Linked DNA regions of Rhinolophus ferrumequinum. Each later gene encodes a partner of the first gene's protein in a complex. Links are inferred from orthologs where the notes say so. Each region holds a gene or a part of one and is shown in the gene's direction. Other genes may lie near its edges.

Region 1 (12,670 bases):
AGTGACATTTAGTCCATAACAATTACTATAAACTAAAGTCTATCCTTTACTCAGATTTCATTAGTTCTCCCCTAATGTCCTTTTTCTGTTCTAAGATCTCATCTAGGTTACCACATTACATTTAGGCGTCATGTCTCTTCAGTTGCCTCTGGTCTATGAGTTTCTCAGTCCATCATTGTTTTTTGACAATTTTAAGAGTACTGGTAGAATATTTTATAAAATGTCCCTCAATTTAGGTTTGTCTGATTTTTTTCTTATGATTACACTGGGGTTATGGGTTTCAGAGAAGAATATTACACACATGAAGTACCTTTCTCATCACTTAGTGTCAGAGAGCATGTGATATCAATATGAATTATCATGTGATATCAACACAACACTAGTGATGTCAATACTACTCACTTGATTAAGGTAATGTTTGCCAGATTTATCTACTATAAGTTACTTTTTTTTTCTTTTCATACTTTATTCTTTGGAACAAGTCACTAAGCCCAGCCCACACTCAAGGAGAAGGAAATTAAGCTCCAGTTCCTGGGGAGGGGGCATAATATTTACATGCATTATTTGCAATTTTCTCTGTAAGGAAGATTTTGTCCCTTTTCCCCCGTTTATTTGTTCTCAAAACAGCTATAAACCTATCATCAAAGTATTTGTGAATGTAGTGCCAAAAAAGTCAGCTTTGGAAGCCTTTATTAGGTCCCACTTATTCAATAGAAACACTGCATCCGCTACCAGATTTTGGTTTCTAAATAACATTCTTCAAAATATCAGTATAGATTATATAGATACAGATATAGATATAGATATAAATATAGGCATAAGCATAGGCATAGATATAGACATAGATAAAGATATATAGACAGAATATTTAAGCAGCAAGTATAGTCAAAACTTTTAAAGAACGTGACTATGAATGAAAGATAGGGCATTCGCTTGATGGGATCCGAACAAAGTTTTGAATTATTGTTCTTTTTAAAATAGGAAATGGGAAATAAACATATTTAAATTTTGATTTGAAAGAGTAGATAGGAATCTTTGATGGTGCAGAAAAGCCAAAGGATAACTGATGGTGTCGAGTTCCCGTGGAGGTAGAAAGGCATGAGGTCCAGGGTATGTGGAAGGATGAGCCTTAGGGAGGGAAGGGAAGGAATTCCATTATGACAAGAGGTTAAAATGTTAGGACAGAAGCAAGTAATTATGTTTGATATAAGAAGTGGAAGGAGTTACTTCCTGATCTTTTCTGTTTTTTCTGTCAAGTAGAAGATAGTTTTAGGAAAGAGTTGAAATGCTACCAGGGAGAATAGGAGAGCCAACTAAGGATGTGCAACAAGACCACTGGGCAGTGTGAGGGCCCAGCTGGAGGGGGAAGTCAGTGTTTGTATGTAATGGAGGTAATCAGTGTACATATGTTGCTTATCTTGGGAAGCTCTTGGCCTACAAACATGAAGGAGGTAGAGAGTTGGGTTGATCTAGGCATGAGGTTCCTAGAGGTAGGTCTTATATTGGTTAGGGTAAAGGTTAAACAGTAATGACAAAAAGACCGTAATACACAGTGGCTTACATAAAATAGAATTTTACCTCTCTGTCACTTAACACTCACAAGATGAAAAGTCAAGGTTGACCAGGAGGCTCAGACTCATGAGTTTATTCAGGGACCTACGTTCCTCCCATCCTGTGCTCATCTGTGCGGTCAAAGTTGGTTAGCTCCTTCATCTGTGTTCCAGCTCATGGGGAAGAGAAAAGAGAAAGTCTAGAGCAAGGAATTTTCTTTCTAAAAAGGAAGGTGGAATATGCAGATATCACTTCCTATTACATTCATTGATGAGAACTTGGTTCTATGGCCACTACAAGTTAAGGGACGCTAGAAAATATAGAAGAGGAGAGGGATAGGCACGGGAGGATACACAGCCTTACAGGGGTATCGAAGAAGGACAAGGAGGTTAATAGAGGGAGGATTTTCAGGACTAACCCTGGAACTTGGACTGAGTCAAGGGGTAAAGAGAATAAGAACTCAAGAGACTGTCGTCTCTGAGAGAACATAACCTTTGCAGTAAGAGAGAAAAGAGGACAATAGGTGTTTGTGGTCAGAGAGCAGCATTTCAGATTTCAGCGGTGGAGAAGTTCAGGATGATAACTGGTTCTGGGGTATGGCCCAGAAAGTGTGTGAGTGACGCGGAGTGTAGGTAAACATTATTAAAGAATACTGCAGAAATTTTCATTATTCATCTTTCCAAGTGTCACCTAACTATGAGCCTATCCTAATGTCATAAACTAGAGTAAGAACCTTATTAAAATTTTTATTATAGCCTCTTTTCTCAATTAGCAAAGTTTATCCTAACTCATGGGATTGACAGAACACCTCTTGTAGGTCCTAAAATTTGAATAAAGAGAAATTAGGGATCATATATTTGTGTGTACCCTGACCTCTTGAGTTGGCACTTAGTTGCCACTGCCACCAAGTGGTCAGTAGTGAGAATTGCATTTAGTGCTAGAATCTATTGCCAATGAGGCATTTGCCTTTCCAAGAAACCACCTTTCAAGCTCTGGAGGTCTTCCAACTCTCTAGGGTAATATTTGTGTGAAAGCTTCCCGGTGAAATATGCAATATGTCAATCCATTTCATGAGAAATTACATAAAAAAATGTAGCCTGATAGGTGATCTACTCTAACATGTTCACAATTTTTTCTTTGACAATACAGGGAAAGGTTTTTTCAGAAATGTACACTTATATACCGGGGGTGCCAAAAAAATGTATACAAGTGGACACTCTGGTCAATGTTGCTAAAGCAGTTGTTCACCATAATCAGAAGTGTCTGGAGGCTGATGGTAACCACTTTGAGCACCTCTTGTAATTGCAGAAGTCAAACGTGACTTGTATTCATCTTTTGTTACTGGTATACATTGAGTATTACAATTTTCATAGTTTTTTCCTTTCTTAAAATGTGTATACATTTTTTTGGCACCGTGTGTGTGTGTGTGTGTGTGTGTGTGTGTGTGTGTGTGGTCCAAAACATTGAAAAACAGAAAAAGTAAGAATGTTTGGTGGTACCATGTTTGTAGACAAACCTGAGTGGTCAGATCCTGGCATTCACATGGACGAACATTTCAACATGACCAATGACATGAATATACACAGGGGAAGCATCATGAGCATTGCCTGCTCATATATTTTTCACCTTTTTTCCTGTATAATGGAGCTATTTTTACTCAATACATAAGGATACTGTAACTTTGTAATAGCCATTTGGAATACAAAGAGGTAAAAACAGTCAGAATCAGAATTGAGAAACTCATAGCAAACCAGTGGACCCTCTACAATCTCTCCTTGATTTTACTGTGGTCTTTTAATAGAACTAGGTGAAAAGTGAAAATTGGAAGCTGAATAGCTACCTTTACTTATTCCACAAATTCAACAATTATTTGTTAAGCACTTACTATGGGCCAGGTAGAGCTTACACTCTAGTGGACTGAGATATATACTATCACCCCTGAGTCACAGATAAGGAAGCGAAAGCTCAGAAATATTATGAGGTTTTAGGCACAGATCTGTCCTAAAACAGTACTTGTTATTTTTATACTACGGCAGGTCAGATAACGTTATTTTCATTCAACGTTGTTTCTTTATAACACTTTCTGAAATCCCTGTTTTTTTTTGGTGCTTGGCATTGTGACTAAGCTTGAAAAAGAGCTCTCCTCTATGTGCTCCACATTTCTCAAAAATGTGGAAAAAATGGGATGAACCAGTATTTCAAGTTATTTATTCTCATTTTGACATGAACATAGTTTCTGAGTAACTTTAATAGATGTGTGATTTTTGGGAAAAAAATGCATGTAATTAAAACTGATCAATTTAATTCATTGGTCATTGATTTAAAAATAAATGTTCTTATATTGATTATAAAATCATTCTGAAATATGGCTGTCATCAGCAGTGGAACATAACTTTTAATCATTTAGAAATTTGGAGCCATACAATGTAAGTCATTGACGTGAAATTCAGCAGTCATAAGAAGGTAAATGGAGGCTTACTAATAAGCAAAGTTTTAAAGAGTCCAATTGATTGGTAAAGCTTGGAAATCATTGCAAACTGTTCTAAAAGTTCAACTCAGTTTTCTTAATAGCAAGTCTAGAATTTACACAAACGGCCCTTAGTAATTTTTAAAAATTTCAAAGTGCATGTTCTATAAGATATTACTGTGATAGGAAGGTATAAAAATAAAGTAAGTTTGGGAAGTAATGGTTTAATGCAGTTCTTCTCAGAGCCTTTAATGCATCAATGTGAATTATGACTCTCAAAAGGGGAGTGAGAGAGTTATATATTATATGATGTGTTCCAAACTCTTTAGACCATTATATCAGTCATCTATGGCCACAATAGTTCTGGATGACAAACCATGTCAAACTCAGTGACTTAAAACAATCATCATTTATTCTTACAGATCTGCAATTTGACTAAAACAGCTCTGCGTTAAGCGGCAGGTCTGTGGATCTGGGTATTCCACACATCTCTCACCCTCCTCAGCCCAGCAAGCTAGCCACACCATGATCCTCTCAGACAAGGGCAGAGGTACGAAAGAGGCAGCGAAAATGCATGATACCTCTTAAGTGCTAATCTTAGAATTCTCATACTGTCTCTCTAACACACGTTCAAGTGGACAAAGCAAGTCACAGGGCCAAGCCCAAAGGAAAGGGATGATAAAATATGCTCTGTCCACGATGAGGCCATTGCAAGGAAGGGGATCCAGGAAGGGGTAAAAGACCTGGGATCAATAATTTAATCTATCATGACCATAAAACCATTTGTTTATAGACCATCTCATGGCACTAGTGTTCTGTGGAGTACACTTTCAGAAACATTGCAATATCTCATTGGTGCTTATGCAATGCACATATTCGTGGGCACAAAATATCATCAAACAGCAACACCCTGAGATGAAGCAATTTGTGAGACGTTTTCAAATATCATAATCTGAATGGGTATACACCACCATATAGCTGTAAGAGAAAGATCCTTCCTGCTAATGGGACTTTATAAAGTCCTTTGTATTGTCACAGCTCATTAAGAATTCAACCCCTAGAATGAATGTGGACACTATGTGTTCGTTTTAGGGAGAGAGCACTTCTCCATAGCCTCAGCCAGAATACTGTAAAGCATTTAGGAGGGAGGCAGATCCTCCTAGAAATGGGTGATTAGGACTCAGTTCTCAGAGCTGTGCTTTGAGTAAATGCATTGCTGACAGCAGGCAGATTGTGGAAAGAAGTGACATCCAGGCCAGGGTCCTCAAAAGAAAGCCATGCCAGATCAGCATGGTGATGTCCCTGAATAGTCCCTTAATGCAGAGAAATAGACACCAGAACCCCAATGGGTATTTGTACACTCTGAATATACATGTATGGAGCATAAGGAACCTCGTTCCCATCAGCTTGTGTGATCAGTCATCAATCATTCCTTCTGTTACTTTTATAAGACCAGAATCAATGAACCTCATCAAAAATTCTTGAACCAGATGAAAATTTACCAGATAAGCAGAGTCAGAAGTCTAGGTCTAGAGTGGAACAAAACCAGGTCAGCAGCAGCTCCCGTCACACACCACCAGTAGCAGTGAAATGGTTTGTCTCAAACCCCAGCCCTGTATCCTGCTGAGAAAAAAGACACAGATGTTTCAGGTGCAGAGTTTTAACTCTGAGTTCTGGCTCCTCTAGCACTCTCCAAAGCAGGTGACATCATCAAAAGAACTCAGTTTAGAGTTAAGAACTGGACAGGATTCTATTCCTGGTTCAGCCTTCACTTCACTATCATTTATTTTAACTTTTATCTCAGTTTCTTTATTAGTAAAATGGGATAACACCCATCCTGTGTACTTTCCAGAGTTGTTATAAAATAAATCATATTCATAATGACACTTTAAAGTAGTAGGTTGGTAGGAAAGTAATTCTGGTTTTTGCAATTATGTTTAACCTTTTAAACCGCAATTACTTTTGCACCAACCTCATATATATAAATGTGCCACCACAAGACAAGATGAGGTCACATATCCTCCATCAACATCTGTGGAAATTGTCAAACATAAACAAGGATGCAATTAAATCTCATGTGATGATGTTTTCCTCAATAGTGGTCTCTAGTACAGACCTTTTAGCTACCAATACCTTGTAAATCACAGTGCAACATACTGGGCGAGGAAAAAAAATTGGTTTAACTTTTACAATATGGCAACAACAACAAAAAGAGATTTATTCATCTTCATGTAGAGTGCACCGTTAGATAGGATTTGATTGTCATCATCATTATCAATCACGGGAACAAAGGATTGAAATGGCAAAATTATTATTGCAGAGACTCTGGCCTTTTTAAGATGAATGCCTCCAAGTAAGAAATGCAAGAGAAGCCACCCTGGAGTTTACCTGGAAAAGACTCAAAATCTGATCAGGGTAAAAAAGTTGAACGAGATAAACTTCAAGAATTTAACTTGGAGAAAATGTGAGGTGTATGACCTCAGAGGGGACTGCATTTTTATATTACCAGAGAAATACAAAATGCTTTTTGACAAGGGTATTACAGAAGTTTCAATAACAGATAAGAATCAGCCTAAGAGATGGATGAGGTGGTGATTTCTGTTTTTCTTTCTTTTTTTTCCCTTTCCTCAAAAATGCTGCCATGCAATCTCACTTCACACTTACGAACAGACCCCACACCCTTCTAGGACCTTGGCCACTAAGTCTCCCACTTTGAACTCTCTTTAAATTATCTCTAAATTCCATTCCTCGTGCTCCTTCCTGTGGTTTTTCTTTGAGAGATTTTGGGGCATATATTCATTTAGAGACAGTATACTTTTGCATAAAACACTAACTCTAAGGTACCCTCCAGTTCTAAAATGTTTAATCAAATGACTCTATACTTGCTTTTAAAACGTCTGATCTGTGGAATTTTGGAGCCAATTTTGCCAATCTCTCAAGTTTTTCTGATTTTTTTTAATTTAATGTGTAAATACATGACATTTCACCAGGCACTCTGACCGTTCAGATTACAGAAGGAGAAAAGATTCTGAAAGGTGTTATAATCATAATTAATTACCCTAGGGACCACTTATTGAGCACCATTACATGCCGGGCCAGTTTCAGTGCTTTTGCATATATCATCCCCTGAAGCCTCCCAGCAACCCTAGGAGGAAAGTATTACAACCCTCAATTTATAGAAGGAGCCACTGAGGATTAGATACATTGAGGAAGCTGCCCAAAGTCATACGCCTAATAGTCAGTGATGATACTGGGATGGAATTCGGGCTGTCTGTCTCTAAACCCTATGAGGCTCCCTTGGATAAGAAGAAATGATCCAGCTCCAGCTTTACAAATGTCACCGTATTTTGCTAAGTAGCAACTGAGGCCAATAGATTTGATCAAGGGGAAAACATGAAGCTTGCAGTCATTATCAAGTAGTTTTGCTGGGTTGACTTAACAGTTTGGGGGATACCAAAGAGATTTAAGAAGGCTAAGCCAAAATTCCCACTAGTTCCTTGGTGGAATTACAGGTTTCCCCTTCCCTCGCTCCTTCCTTCTCTCCCTCCCCCTTCCTTCCTTTGAATCTTCGGGACATCAGTAAACATTTGCTGAAATAAAAAGAAGGTTGGATTTCTATTGCTTCACTCCTTTGCCGAAAGCACTTACAAAGGTTCACAGGAACCTACGTGACTACCACACTCACTTGAATAAAACAAGCTCTTGAGAGCAGAGATGTGTTAACATTTTATTCTCTACGACCTCCCAAACTCCTAGAAGAGCGCCAGGGCAAACCATAGGCGCTCAATCAGATTGCTGATTGGATGAAGCACGCTTTAAGTGGCTAGAGTAAGACCGCCGTTTGGGGCTGGGCCGTTGTTGTTTTATATTTTCTTCTGACACCCCCTTTGGAAATGGAGAAAAGGTGGGTTCCCAATCGGTCTCAGACTGCGGTCGGGATCCAGACCCTCCTACTCCTCTCCACCTTTCCGCAGCTGATCCGGTCGGCCCGCAGCCCCGCAGAGAAGGGCGTGCGGGCTGCTGGCCGCCGTGGCACCGCGGGGGTGGGAGCACTGTGAGCACTCAGGTGACGTTGCTGCGTGCTGAGTTCAGGGGCCGGCAGCGCGGAGAGGGGGCGCCCCAGGGTGCGGCGGGCAGCGCAGGGGGACCGACGGGCGCGGGCTCCACCCGCCGCTGCTCCCCAGGGGCGGGTCATCGGTAGGTGTCCGATCTCTGTGAGCATCTTCTCTCCAGCCCTGGAAGGTACCGAGTGTGCTTCTGTGGGGGCACCTGCGGAATGGAGTGGGGCGGAGGGCCGGCTGCTTTCATATTCAGCCAAGAAAATGGAAATACAGGTGGGACAAGAAAGGCAGATGGCTCTCAAGGAAGGAGCAGCCTCAGCTCAGAGAGCTGCAGGGCGCGGAGCTGGTGCACCCAGGTCGTTCCTGGAGTAAATAGGCGGAAATAGAGTGGCGAAGGCGAGGGATTGATAACTGGGTTGTGTTTCCTAACAGTTCAGGAGGCCTTTTCTGAACTAGAAAAGCTAAATACAGTTCCTCACCCAGGTAAATCCCTGCGTCCCTCTTTAGCGCCTTTGGGCGGCCTGCTTTGAAGCCCCCTCAGCACTCGGTTAACTTGATATTACTCATAAGTCACTTGAAGCTTGCAGTGTCGTCTGTGCTCCTTGGATGCCCTTAGGAAGTTAGCGGCTGTCAAGGAACCGGGGAGAGTGGGAAGGGGGGGCGGGGCGTTTGCATATCAGCCTGGGGCTTTTTAGAGCCTTTGAGAAATTCTTTCTAAAAGCTTGTTAGCAATGAAAGAGAAATGTGCTTTCTTCTACTTCTTAATGAGGTTTTTGCCCCAAAGTCTGATATCTTTATTTGTAGTGGAATCTTCTTATTAAAACGCTTCTGAAGCTACAACTAAAGAAACAGTCCTAAAAATGGAATTGTTTCATTTTGGTGCATGCACAGAAATTTCACTGAACTTACTAGCTCAGTGCAAATTAGGGGGTGGGGTGTTTTCACTGAATGTTTTCTAACTTTTTAATATTGCAGTTCCTACTCAAAGAACCTATTTATCAGTATAACTTAGTGGGTAGCGATGTGGAGAGCGGGTGATGACTGACTGGATATGATTGGATTGAGTTGATAGCCCATTGTTTGTATTTTATTTGGATCACGACGTCTGTTAATGTCAAAACTGAATTGGCCTTTTGCAGAGCAGACATACCCTCATCTATCATCTCTTGGCTATGACAAGATAATTACAAGGGCAATAATGTTTGACTCTTAGCCTAGCACAGGTTGTTAAACTGCACAAAGCAATCAAATTCCAAGAAAAGTGTTTTTCTAGCCTGGGAAATAAAGTACCATCAATGCACAGGCTACCTAATGTTTCTGAAATATTAATGAAGACTGTTAAACAGAGATTGAGTAGGAAAGGAAAACCAGCAGGTACTTTAAAGAGGAGCCAAGAATGGTTGTGTGGGTCTAAGATGCTGTGAGAGAACCAATTTCATTTTTAATATCAGCTTGGCTTTCCTCAAACATCAGAAATGGATCTGGGGGAAGACTATTGCAGTATAGTGGTAAGTCCAGTTTTGAGAGGCAAGCCTGTAGCACTTAACACAACTGATGGGCTAAATGTGTCAGGTGCAGCAATTGTCCTACCAAAGGCCCCCAAATCACCAGCAGAGCTGTCCTGCACAGGACCTTTAGAAACCTCTAAGATCTGATGGTGGGGCAGTGTCTGGTCTGTCAGAGGCCCTAGGTGCAGTGGGCAGGACAGTCACAGCTCCCACTCCACAAAAGACAAAGGATGGGAAATGTTTTTGTTCCCTGAAGGATCCTCTGCCTTTCACCATGAATTCCCTCCCCCACTGGGACATTCCTTCCTGCAACCCAGCTGGAAGGAACCAAAGGCTGTCGCTTATCTTCTGTCTCAAACGTACTCACCCCTAATCCCTTGTGCATTTATTTTTAATATTCTGATCCTCAGAAGAGAAATGAAATAAATACAGGTGGGTGAAATTGAGGAAAGCTGGGGGACGGGGAAGGCAAAGGGGGAAGCCTTTGTTTGTGCCTCAGGGAAAGAAAACAAATTTTGTCAAGAGCCTACTCTGCTTTAAGCAATGCTTAGGTGCTTCCTTTCACTAAATCCTCACAATAACTATGTAAAGTAGAGAGCATTATTCCCACTTCAGCAATAAGGAAACCATCAGAGGGAAAAGTAGGGCTCAGAGAGGTCGCTGACTACCTAGGTACTTGAATACACACAGCTAAAAAGTGACATGGCTAAAATTAGGCCCTAATCTGTGTGACTCCTCCAAGAAGGTACACATGCTTCTCTTGTAAAGGCTGGTGAGAAAAACTAGAGTGGCTCTGTTCTCACTCTCAATCTCCCAGCTTTCCTGAGGAGGAGGAGCTTGGGTTAAATCTGCCAAAATCGATGCCCCAGGGACATGTATAGACACCTAGAGTCTTTTACAGAAGTACTGGACCCTATAGGCTGCTCTGCTCCCCTCCTTTCCCCACCCATTCTCTCCATCCTGACACTCAATCCTCTGATCCCAAACTGTCAAATTCTAGGTTTCCAGAACCATTGGCATGTGTCCTTTCTCTCCAAGGGTACACCCTTTCACCTCATGCCTGGGTTTCTTCTTTCAATCCCACACCCACACAATTGAAGATGTTATAAAGGCTCCTCCAAGCAAAGCAGGAGAAGCACATATAAGGACCCAAACTCAGCATGGCTTCAAAGTCTGCAAAATTCAGGGTCTGGTCCTTTCAAGCAGCTGGATCCCCTCACGATGGCGGGAAGGAAAGAGTGAATGAGTGGAAATGCTTGGGCAGAATTTGGGTCCCTCTGTCTCAGGAATGAGAAGGAGGAAAAGGAAAAAGAGGAGACAGAGAAAGAAAGAAGAGGGAGAATGGTTCTTATTCAAGGAAAACTTTATGATTACAGAGAAGTTTTGTAAAATGAGATTTCATTGTGTAATATTAATGCTGACAAATTGACATCATTTTGTAAGTTTCTGATGACTTACAGCTAATTACCGTGCAGCACAATCATGTGTTTCATTATATACAGAATAACTTTGTGGCCCGTTTAATTTAATTAAAATAAAATTCTGAAGTCTTTCTATGTACTCAAGTCTAATAGAGTTGTTCATAGATCCCAGTATTTAGCATGATTATCAAATCACCTATTGCAATAAACACACACACACGGAAAATAGTGTGTTTATCCTGCGACTCAAGTATTCTGAGAGACCTAGATTGAAACCTTGCTTCACGGGAGGAGTTTTATCCTTGGGGATTTATATTAAGCATGCAAAACACTGGCAAAGCTTTCCCACACTGAACTCAAGCCTCATACATTTAGCAGCTAGCTAATTACCCTAATTTTGAAGGATATAAGTTAAGTACAATTACATTGCAAAGCATTAAAACATTAGAACATTTAATATTTTGCTTCTCAGTATTGTCAGTTTGGGCTCAAATAAACTTATAAAAATACTCTACAGTACAGGTTTGGATCTTCTTATGTACACTGTTCAGCCTCCTGTATAGGGTGGGAAAGATCCTTCCATCGTAATTTCTATGCCTTCATTAAAATCACCTCATAAGAAATGAAATTATTGCCTCATAAGAAATGAAATGAGAGCAGAGAAATCAACAGAGAAGTTCTGGAAATCTTGCAGGCACCTTCTGAATGACTTCCCCTCTATGCTACAAATGCCCTCTTCTCCATGAAGTTATGTGATAGAGCTGAATTTATTATTTATTGTTTATGTAATAATTTTGTTACCTACTCTTTAAAAACAAGCAAATAGCAAATTATAATTTTTTAAAAACTCAAAATAAATTCCATAAACAAAACAAAAAAACATTGAAGTGTCATCAACTGGGTTCCACCCTGTCCTAAATATACCTGATGTCCCAAACTTTCTAAATAATTGGGTTACTTATTTTATAATTCTCTGATCATTCAGTTTCATTAAGATGGAACTGAGTTTGTTTTTTTGTTTTTTTGTTTGTTTGTTTTTAGTATATAGGCTTATATATATAGGCTAATGTACTTGCAAAAGTATACTTTTGCAAATATATTTGCATGAATAATGCTTCTACTCTTGAAAATGTAAAAATAAAAACCATGTACTGCCACTCTTTTTAAAAGTCTCAGTGAATTTTTCCTCCAACTAAAATTCTTTAAAAATTTACAAGAGAAGCTGTTCTTTTTGGGGAAGATTATTTCACAGAACACATATGAAAACATCTTTTCAAGTAAAAATGGCATAAAATTTTATACCATTAAGGTATTTCATTGCCTATATTCCACTTAAAATATTTCATAGTTTCAAAGTTATAAGGGGAATTTATTTTTACAGGTTGTTCTGTATAAAGAGCTTCGATATCAGAGTCACATAATTTTCTAAAAGTATTTCTTGGTTCTTTTCAAGCAGTAATCACAATCTATAAACACAATGTCCAAGCAGCTTTTCGGAGCAGTTTGGGCCTCCTCTAAAGAGGGAGGAAACATTTCAGGGACCATGTGTGATTGTTTTCACAATCTTTTCAGGGTGATATCAAAGGTCAACCACACAGCGTTCAAGGCAGCAGAGCTGGGTTCAATCTTTGTCCCTGTCACTCACTAACAGGGTGACCTGAG
Region 2 (11,074 bases), on another chromosome or scaffold:
TGCTGGTGTCAACAATGGCTTTGAGAAGGGAGACTGGGGAGAAACGTGTACAGGTCTGACAACTAAGTTCCCGAACTTTGTTGCAATGATGTTGCTAACCTTTTATTTCTTTTTTTCTCCCCCCTTCTTCTGCCTCCCCACCCACTCCGGTTCAAGCCGTTGTTTCCCAGTCTAGTTGGACACAGCTCCCTGGCCCATGCTGGTATTATAAGCCTTGCGCTCCCCCTAGCTGAGGCAGTTGGTTGCCAATCGTTGGTCGGCCACTCATGGCAGCTCACGGTAGCCCACGGCAGCACACACCAGCCCACAGCCACTCATGCTGGCTGCCAGCTACGGCAGCACAGCAGCCCCGTGGCAGCAGCCCCACTGCAGCTCACAGCAGCCCAGCTCCAGGAAGAGCCATTGTTCACAATCTTAGCTGTAGAGGGCGCAGCTCACTGGCTCATGTGGAAATCGAACCCGTATCTCTGCGTTAGGAGCACGGCACCCCAAACTCCTGAGCCACCGGGCCGGCCCAACTAACCTTTTATGATATCAGAGGGATTATTCATTATGAATTTGTACCAACTGGACAAACAGTCAACCAATTTTTTCTATTTGGAAGTGCTGAAAAGGCTGAGTGAAAAAGTTAGATGACCTGAACTTTTCGCCAACAATTCATGGCTCCTTCATCACGACAATGCACCAGCTCACACAGCACTGTCTGTGAGGGAGTTTTTAGTCAATAAACAAATAACTGTATTGGGACAGCCTCCCTACTCACCTGATCTGGCCCCCAATGACTTCTTTCTTTACCCGAAGATAAAAGAAATATTGAAACGAAAGACATCTTGATGACATTTAGGACATCAAGGTTAATACGACAATAGCTGTAAAGGCCATTCCAGAAAAAGAGTTCCAAAATTGCTTTGAAGGGTGGACTAGGCGCTGGCGCCAAGGGCAGTACTTCGAAGGTGACCTTAGTGATATTCAGCTATGAGGTATGTAGCAGTTTTTCTAGGAAGAATTCACAAACGTAACTGTCTGACTTCATATATATATAGTCCTAAGAATTTCTAATGACAAAGTCATACTTACTTAGTTTGGTATTTGCACTGATTGTGACCTGAAAAGCTTCAAGCACAAATTTTAGTTTAAAGTAGTACTGTAGTGGTACTGCTCCAGGTGCCTGGCAGAAGCAAACACAGGAATTTCAAGAATCCCTTTGGATACAGTTCAATAAATATATGCAGAAAATGAAAATTCACTAAACACATGAGGAAGACACCATGAGTCAGTATCAACAGAAATAACAAACTGCAGAATCAGATAGACAAATACAGCAGACACTGGAATAATTAGATACAAATATAAAATTAATGTTTAAAAATAAAAATGTTTTATAGATTTAAAATAATAAAAGAGACTTAAAATGTGCTGAATAAAAAATATAAAACTGTAATTGACCAGGCAGATCTGAAAAGGAACCAAGAACTTTTGAAAATAAGTTAATTTAAAAGTTCAATACACAGATTAAACCCCAGATCAGTTAAAAGTGAAAGTGCATTGGTGAACTGGAATATAACTCTGAAAAAGTTGTTCAAAATGCAGCACACAGAGAAAAAGAGAATGTAGGAAAGAGAGGGTATAAGATACAGAGAAGAAAGTGAGCAGACAAGATATACATATCTATATATATATATCTATATGTATATATAGATATACATACATATATATCTATATATAGATGTATCTATATATGAAATTCCAGAATGAGAAATAGAGAACAGGGGAGAGGCAATATTCAAAGAAATAATAACTAATAATTTTCCAGAATTCATGAGAAACACAAACCTTCAGATTCAAGAATGCACGCCAGCATAAATTAAAAGAAATCCAGACACATCATGTGAAACATCAAAGCAGACCATCAAAGCCAAAGAGAAGATTTTAAAAGCAGCCAGATAGAATACAGATTATCTATAAAGGAATCATTATTAAAACTGACAGCTGAATTCTCAGCAGTAACAATGAAAACCAGAAGAAACTGAAATAATAAAGTACTAAGAAAAAACAATTGTCAACAGAATAACTATAGTCACTGAAACTGTTTTTCAAGAATAGCAAAATACATTTAATTAAAACAAAACAAACCTTAGTTCATTACTAACAGACTCTAAGTTAGCATCTAACTTAGAATACTTCAGAAAGATGTATGAACTGTGATCAGAAAATACAGTGAATGTTTATAACAAAATTTATTACAGTAAAAGACACATTGCCATTAATCCCCCTCAAAATACTCCCCCTCGCTTCAAACATACTTATACCATCGTTCTTGCCACTTTCTGAAGCAGTTCTAGAAGCCGTCTTTCATGTCTTTAGTTGCGCTGTCATAGCTGACTCAATGTCCTGAATCAATTCAAAACGTTTACCTTTCATGGTCATTTTGACTTTGGAGAAGAGCCAGAAGTCATACGATGCCAAATTTGGTGAATAAGGTGCACGAGAATATACCGTAATGTTTTTATTTGACAGAAATTACCACACTAGAAGTGATGTGTGACACTGAGCGTTTCTGTTGTGATCACAAAATACAGTGAATACTGCTGCCGAGTGCCATCCAACGGAAAGGCAAGGATCTTCAATACGGGAAACAGCGCGATGAAACTTAGTAACAGTATGTGAACTACAGTTCAGAGAAGATGTGTGTGAGGCTTGCGACAAGATAATGAAGCTAAGAGAGTCAGGAGGGTTGAGAAAGGTGAGTGCTTTATTCTGCTTCCCAGGGCGAGGTTCACCGGTCCCGCAGATGGGGCCGGTGAAGTCGCGCCCAGGGCAGAGCGAGGGAGGCATATATGTGATTTTTGGGGTGGGGTTTGGCTGAGTGAGGTGGCAGTTGGGCAGGCCCCCCAGCGCAGATCGGGCGCAAGCGGCTGCATCCGGAGTTGTTTATCGCACCAAAGGTCTGCTGCCTTTTCCGGGAAATGCCAGGGGCACCAGTTTCCATCATGCGAGCAGGGGTCTGACTTGGCAGAGGGGTATGACTTGGCTCCTGGACGCTTTGACCATGCCCGTAGCTGACCTAACAATGTGTTTAAAAATGTGCCGTAAATCATCCTCCATCATGACAACGCTCCATGTCACACATCGCTCCTGGTACGGCAAGTTCTATCAAATAAAAACATCACGGTGTGTCCTCATCCACCTTATTAATTGGATCTGGCACCGTGTGACTTCTGGCTCTTCCCCAAAGTCAAAATGATTCAGGACATCGAAGCAGCCACAATAAGTGCAACTAAAGACACTCACAAAAGAGGACTTCCAGAAGTGCTTCAGAAAGTGGTGAGAACAATGGGATGAATGTGTTTGAAATGAGGGGGAGCATTTTGAGGGAGATTAATGGCAATATGTCTTTTACTGTACTAATTTTTTTTATTTAAACATTCACCATATTGTTTGATCACACCTCGTACTTCAGAAAGAAGATAAATGGTTGTTAAAGATCTCAGATGTAAAACACAATGGTGAGAAAAAAATGGTAAGCTTGTAGGTAAATCTGAAAATAATGGTAACTGTATAAAACAAAATAATCTTTAATTTGTTCAATAAAAACTCAAGATAGAACTTAAATCTTAGAAAATAATAACATAAATTAGAAATAGTGGTGACTAGAGTTAAGGATTCTAAGGTCTTTACATTATTTGGGAGGAGGACAAAAAAACTAGTTAACTTTAAATGTAAAGAACTGAGGATGATATTAAAATGTCTAGGGTACATTCAAAACAATGAAAACTTAAACATAAACTAGAAGGCAATAAAGGGCAAGAGAAGGGAACATATTAAAATAAAATTCACAAACTATAATAGTAGCACTGAATCTCAGTAATTCAGTAAACAGAATAAATATAAACGGACTAAACTCGCCACGTAAAAGATAAAGATTGTCAGACTAAAAATTCCAAATTCAGCTATATATTTGTAATAGACACATATAAAACAAAAAGATACAGAAAAAGTGATAGTAATAGACACATTATTAAAGCTAGAGCGGGTCATTTTACATGATTTGGTTTATGAGGAAAATGAAACAATTTCCAATTAGAATGTCCGATAACATAAGTCAAAACTAAATAAAGCAAAAATTGTGAACTACAACAAATTAGATTCTAAGCTATTATCATAGCAAAAGAGTTACAGACATTTCTCTTAGTAATTGATAGCTCATGAGACAAGAAATCAATAAGACACAGAAGATTTAAACAACATATTAGCATGTTTCATCTTGTGAATACATACAGAACCATGCTCTAAACAATACTGTATACATATTCTTTTTAAAAACGAATAGAACTTTTTATGCAAAGTGAAAATTTTATAGGACACAAGGCAAGTTTGTATATGATGAGCCACATGAAATTGTTATTTGTACATCAAAAACAGTTGAAAATAATTAATTACACAAGACTGTATCTAATGCAGATTTCAAATACTGTACATGTTAAGATTTCTGACAAAAACCCAAGTTAGTTGGAACTTGGTACTCTCCCCCAAAATTTCAATTCCCATATATTTGGAATGTTACAAATATCTAAGTAATTGATGGGTCAAAGAAGAAATAATAGTGAAACTTATAAAAACTTAGAACTAAACACTGAATATTCTTCCTATCAAAATTGTAGGAGTTAGCAAAAATGATACATAAAAGGAAACCTATAGTCTTAAATGCTGATTTGTTTTAAAAAGTCTAAATATTATGACTAACGTTTCCAATTTAAAAAGTTAGAAAAATAGCAAAATAAACCTCAGAAAAAGTAAAGAAATAATAAAAAGAAGAAATTAGTGAAATAGAAAAAATATATAGTGAAGATCAACAAAGCCAAATATTAGATTTTTGAAATGGCTAACAAAATTCATCAACCTCTAGCAAGCCTGATCAAAAGACAGCAGCAGAGAGGAAGACATCACAAATAAACATAATTAAAATTAAACACAAGTACAGATGTACTGAGGCTTAAAATATTTGGAAGACAATATTATTAATAACTTTATACTGGCAAATTTGAAAACAAGTGAAATGGACATATTCTACAACAACTTAAATTCTTAACACAAACTGAAAAAGAGAGAGAAGCTAAACATTAAAAAATTTCACCACAAAAACATCAAATCCAAATAGTTTTTTACAAGACAGAAAAGGAATAAACCTTGCCCCCCAGTTCATTTTATGAAGCTAGTCCAACCTTATTGCCAAACCAGACAAAGGCAATATAAGAAAGGGAAATTACCAATCAACCTCACTCATGATAATAAATACAAAATGTACTAAATCACATATTAACAAATTGAACCCAATAACCTTTTAAAAGGTTTGTGTCATGAACACATGATTGGTTTAACATGAGAAAAATCTGTTCATTTCATTTACTACATTAAAGAGAAAAATGATAATGATCATCTTAATAGATACACAAAAAGTATTCAATAACATTCAATAATTCAAGAAAAAAACTATTAATAAGGCAGAAATAGAAGAGAACATCCTGCAAGTTATAAAGAATGTCTATAAAAAACCTAGAGCCAATAGCATGCTCCATAGCATGGTGAAACATTAGAAGCACTCTCCGTAAATCAGTAATTCTGCAAAACTGTCTGTTATCTCCATTTCCAACATTTACTGGAAGTTTTGGTCAGTGTACAAGTATATGCACACAAAGATAGACACACACACATACACACACACACACACACAAATACAGAAGGACTTGCACGGAGAAAATAAAATGCCATTATTTTATTATTTATGTAAATTGTCTTCATGGTAAACCCCAAAGAATTAATACATCTATAAATTAATTGTAATTAAAAAGTTTAGATGTAAACTTTCCATGTAAGAGCAAATTACATGTATACAGACCAGCAATAATGCTAGAAAAGGAAAAATTTGTTAAAAGATACCATTGAGAATAATTAAAAATAAGGAGTTTAAGTATAATTAAATTATAATTATAATTCTTTCAGCAAAAGACATAGAAGACCTTTATGAAGAAAACAGTAAAATGCTATTAAAAGATTAAATTTCTAAATAAATATGGAAAAGTACCATGTTCATGGATAACAAAATAAATTATCTTAAGGCTGTCAATTCCCTCCCAAAATCTATCTATAGAACCAATGCAATTCCCATCAAGGTTTCTCATAGAACTTGAAAAGCTGATATTCAGATTTATATGGAAAAGAAATGGACAGGAATAGCCAAGGAACTGCATAGAAGAAAAAACTGATAGGTGACTAGGGGGCTGAGAACCTCGTCCTACCAGATGTCAAAATTTATTTTAAAGTTATAATTAAGACTGAAGATTTGGCAGTGGAATAAAGAGTTCGGAAAGAGACTCACACATATATAGAAACCTGATATATTACAGAGATGGCATTGCAGATTATTGGGGTTGGGGCTATAGGATGAATTATTCAAGAAATGTGTAAGGACTTTTGGAAAAAGTAAAATTGTATCTCCATCTTATATCATACACAAAATTCCAGAAAAAGTGAGAATTTAAATGTGAAAGAAGTCAAAACATTTAAACTTTTAGAATATATAGACATACGTTAATGAATTCAAGGTACATAACTAACAAAGAATATCCAGGATGTATAAAGAACTCCCATGAATCAATAAGAAAAAGACAAATGACCCAAAAGAAAACGGACTAATATTGTTTGAAAGGCATTTTACGTAAGAGAAAAGATAAATGGCTCATAAACATATGCAAAGACACTCAACCTCTTTGGTAATTAGACAAATACAGATTAAAAGGAGAACATGATACCCCACGGTTGGCTAGGACAGGAAGCATTGGGAACTTTCACACCCTGCTGGTGGGAGCATAAATTGTTTGCTACTACTCTGTAAACATTTTGTTATCAGTAAAGCTGAACATGCACATACTCCATGACCCAGCAATTCACTACCTACTAGAAATATATCCTAGAAAAACTCTCACACATAGGTACCAGAATACATGTACAAGAATGTATTCTCTTACTTGGTGGGCTCAGGATTCGGAATTAACTCTGAAACGTTTAATTAAAAATCATACAACATACTCATCTTCCAAAATTAATATGTATGGAGCACATAAATAGTCTCTTCATGAATTTCTTATTCATTAATTGCTAAATATCAGTAATATCCTTTTGTAAATGCAGAGATAAAACACGTCTGACAGGTCAATTTGAGATACAGCATCAATGACTTTTTGTTGACACTGACACCCATACCCCCATTAATCACCGAAGACTAGATCAAGTATTTATGAAAGAAAATCCTTTTTGAAGCTTATTTCAATTTAACCAGGATTAACAGTAAATAAAACTTTTATCCTTATCATCATTTAGTAAAATAACTTTGGTTTTAATATCTTACTTAATCAGAAAACATACGGAAAGAAACAATAAGAATGTGGAGAGCCTGGTATCCTGTGATCTTCCTTAGTAACATTTTCAAGAGACTATAATCTACTCAACAGGAAGCATTCTAGCAAAGATCTTAATCAGATTCTGAGAAAATGCACACTGAAAATAAACAATATGCCACTAAAACCTAAACAATGAAGGTATTAGCAGTTATACAAAAGATTAGCCCCTATTTGATGACTCATTTCTGACATGATGAGTCTGTCTTTGAAGTGCTTTCTATACAAGCTAGAAAATATATAAAGGTAGGAATCATTGATGAAGCATGTTGAGGAATTTCCTTCATTTTACACATCCTTGTTTGCCTCTATGCAAACATCGAACTAAGAACAGCAAAAATGAGTCTCTCTTCCTACCTATTAATAATAACTTTTTCTTTGCTTTCTCAAGGCATTTTCCTTTCAGCATCGAAGTCCATAAGAAATTTAGAAGATGACATGGTATTTAATACATTTAGGCTGGGGAAAGCCTTTCAGAAGGAAGATACTGCAGAAAAATCAGTCGTTGCTCCTTCCCTGGAACAATATAAAAATGATGAGGGCAGTTTCATGAACGATGAGGAAAACAAAAATTCAAAGGTAAGTGGCAATATAACTTATCCTTTATTTCAATGTATATTTGAATGATTTTTATGAATCATATAAAAGTCAATACTTTTATAAACAGAAATATGTGCAAATAGTCACAATATGCATTAGGACAATTGATGAAATTTCATACATACCAGGTTGTTCTTTCATCCTGGACAACAACTCTTATCCAAAAGTTCCCCCCCCAAAAAAAAAAAACAAATGTGTATCGAAAGTACTTTTTTAAAGGCAAAACAGTATGGAGCATCTCTGTATTGATCAATAAGAATATCATGCTATTGTATTATATTACCATTCCCAATAAGACAGCTAAAACACAAATCAACCTTTTCTTTACAGAATGCAGGATCCAAACATAATTTCCTAAATAATGGTCTGCCACTGAATCTGGCTATAAAACCTTATCTTGCTCTAAAAGGATCTGTAGCTTTTCCAGCTGAGAATGGAGTTCAGAATACTCAATCAACACAAGAAAAGAGAGAAATGGGGGATGAAGAAAACTCAGCTAAATTTCCTATAGGAAGGAGAGATTTTGACAGTGAGTAGTCTTTTCAAATTCAATTCTTGTATCTTAACACAGAGTTTAACTGAGTTTGGATCCAATCATAACAAAATTAAATAAGACCATGGTTCAGTGACACTTGATATGTGATCCCTGCCAAATATGTGGGATTAAAAAGCATTTATTAGTATTATAATTTTGACTTACTCAGAATTAGCTATACTAGATCCATTCTTTTATTTCTGATAAATTTTGTGTGATGACAATAGTCCTTTAAACAATTAAAACTTTTTTGTTTTTCCATCAGTGCTCAGGTGTATGCTGGGAAGAGTCTATCGACCGTGTTGGCAAGTCTGATACCTGGTGGTCTAAGTCATCTTTTCAGAAGAAAACAAAATCATTTAATTGCCTGTGGGGGCCAAAGCCCTTAATGTTACTATGACTTGCATTATTTTAAATGTCTGTTTTAAATGAAAATACTATTAAGAGATATCAGTAACCTAAATGATATGCTTTATCTGTGCATTAAACTTTGTGAATATTCTGCATAATTATGACTTAGTAGTATTTTTTAAACAATGCTTAACATACTAACCTTACATACACTCCAGACCAAAATAATAAAGCATCATAATTTACACCTTGGTCTCTTAAAAATTAAGTAATGTCTTTGGTGAACGGTTTATGCATGTCCATAAATCTGAAGCACATAAAAGACAAATTCATAGTCTAAAAAACTGAGTTAACTTTGTCTGGCCAGTAATCAGTTTGTCCTTGGCGGAACACTTGTTGCTTTTTGCCACTCTAGTTAGTTTGCCATCCAATTTATTCTGCAAATCGTTTGATGTCTTAGGTATCTTAACATTTTTATGTCGAGGTGGCTCATTTCCATTATCACAGAGAATATTTTCATCATCTAAATCCACCTGTTTCCTTTTTGAGCTTTTCTTTCCTGCCTGACTAGTTGATTTTCTTTCTACTTTTTCATTTTTACTTCTGTCCAGATGAACATTTCCAGAACTTGTTCCAATTGTTGGTCTTCCAACAGATGAATTTACACCTTCTGTTATGCAAGATGAAAAGAGGAAGGAATTATATAATATTTAGTATTATTACACATGAGAATTTTACAATAAACTTTAAAAATGGCTAAAGAATTTTAAAAATGTATGATTTGCATAGTCATTTGTACATTGCATAAAATGTACAAATAATACAATAAATTACATGATTAACAAATACACTACATTACTACCACATTACTTTTCATTTTACCATATCATTTTTCATCCCCACAAACAACAAATACTTGCTTTGTTTGAATGTATGACATTTAATCCTTAAATGCTACAAGTTATTTCTTAAATACATTTAGTTAAATCAAACTGTGTCCTATTCCTATCTATAAAGTTGTACTTAATTTTTAATATAAACCCGTCTTTGAAGATATAAACCTTTACATTTCACATTTTACACTCTGCAAAAAACAATCTAGTTTCACTTAAGTTTTGTAAAATCAATTAGTACACTAGAATTAATGTTATTTAATTGTTCAAATAAGGTCAGTTACCAGAACAGTCATTTTCCATGTGAGGAACACACAATGGCTTTGATGCGGAATTAACATTATTCCATGTATTCCTGCTTATCAGGCAGTCATCTTTATAAGTACAAGAAAACTGGGATCTAATTAAGGTTTGCTTCATCTGGTAATAGGAAGAAAACAGAAAATATGCAATTTATTCTTTATTTGAATTTATTTTTTCATCTAGATAGAAATATACTGTATAGTAAGGACAGTATCAGAAAAATTTCCCTTAAAAAGTCAATTATTCATTGGGAACATTTAACCATTGAGGTTTCAAAGTTTGCAAATTCATATTCATTGCTACAACTAGCATTTTTATTCACTTTAGTAATATCTATTTTATGCATATTTTTCATATTTTTGTAACAACTTAGGAAGATCAATTTTAGACTCTTCAGAGGACTTTTTTACACACTCCTGTGTCTGAGCTGTTTTAGAAAATGAGTTTTATAAGTTTAATGATAATATACATGATATACATAATCCTAGAAAAATACAGTTCTTCCTAAAAATTACAAAGTATAACTCTTTTAGGAAAAAAACCACATATGATATTCAAGAAATTAGAGAAATTGAGGAAGAGAGAAATGCTCAGATAAAAAAGAGAACTAAGAGAGGGCAAAAGAAACAAAAATAGAAAACTATCAAAGAAATAAACTGAAAGATTCAACAAAATGGTGACTGAAAGACATTACTGATTAAAAACTTGGAATATTTAGGAAAATAAGAAAGATGATTCAAATATATAATTCTAGGAAAACTTGACCATATAATTTAATGGGTGACTATTTAAAATATACTCTTGCATTTATCTTCAAACATGAAAAGGAGAAAAATTAGAAAGTAGTTTTGGAAATGTATTCTGCAAACATAAAACCAGTGGCTGTTCGGGGGATAGAAATTAATTTCAGAACAAAGTAATCTATGCAGATAATGCAT

Evidence for each region.
Region 2: the proteins of MCHR2 (region 1) and PMCH are in contact, whole or in part, in a cryo-EM structure (PDB 8WST), measured with the Homo sapiens proteins. The link is inferred for Rhinolophus ferrumequinum from reciprocal best matches to the Homo sapiens genes MCHR2 and PMCH. Residues at the interface, in NP_001035269.1 of Homo sapiens: His82, Gln92, Trp93, Gly96, Gly97, Thr110, Asp113, Gln117, Ile175, Phe177, Val181, Ser183, Cys184, Ala185, Phe186, Leu188, Thr189, Ser190, Pro191, Val194, Tyr197, Thr198, Tyr267, Gln271, Asn274, Met277, Glu278, Gln279, Pro280, Phe284; in NP_002665.2 of Homo sapiens: Leu151, Arg152, Cys153, Met154, Leu155, Gly156, Arg157, Val158, Tyr159, Arg160, Pro161, Cys162, Trp163.

What each region holds. Positions count from the first base shown.
Region 1 is NC_046286.1:54,608,074-54,620,743, reverse strand, and holds the start of MCHR2 (melanin-concentrating hormone receptor 2), read left to right. Parts: upstream 1-8,001; 5' UTR 8,002-8,084; intron 8,085-12,670. UniProt on the Homo sapiens protein: Receptor for melanin-concentrating hormone, coupled to G proteins that activate phosphoinositide hydrolysis.
Region 2 is NC_046293.1:17,176,060-17,187,133, forward strand, and holds PMCH (pro-MCH), read left to right. Parts: upstream 1-7,723; 5' UTR 7,724-7,793; coding exon 7,794-8,033; intron 8,034-8,034; exon of another isoform or gene 8,035-8,384; coding exon 8,385-8,591; 3' UTR 8,592-8,614; downstream 8,615-11,074. Other genes in the region: PARPBP (PCNA-interacting partner), read right to left, coding at 9,270-9,610, 10,118-10,253. UniProt on the Homo sapiens protein: MCH may act as a neurotransmitter or neuromodulator in a broad array of neuronal functions directed toward the regulation of goal-directed behavior, such as food intake, and general arousal. May also have a role in spermatocyte differentiation.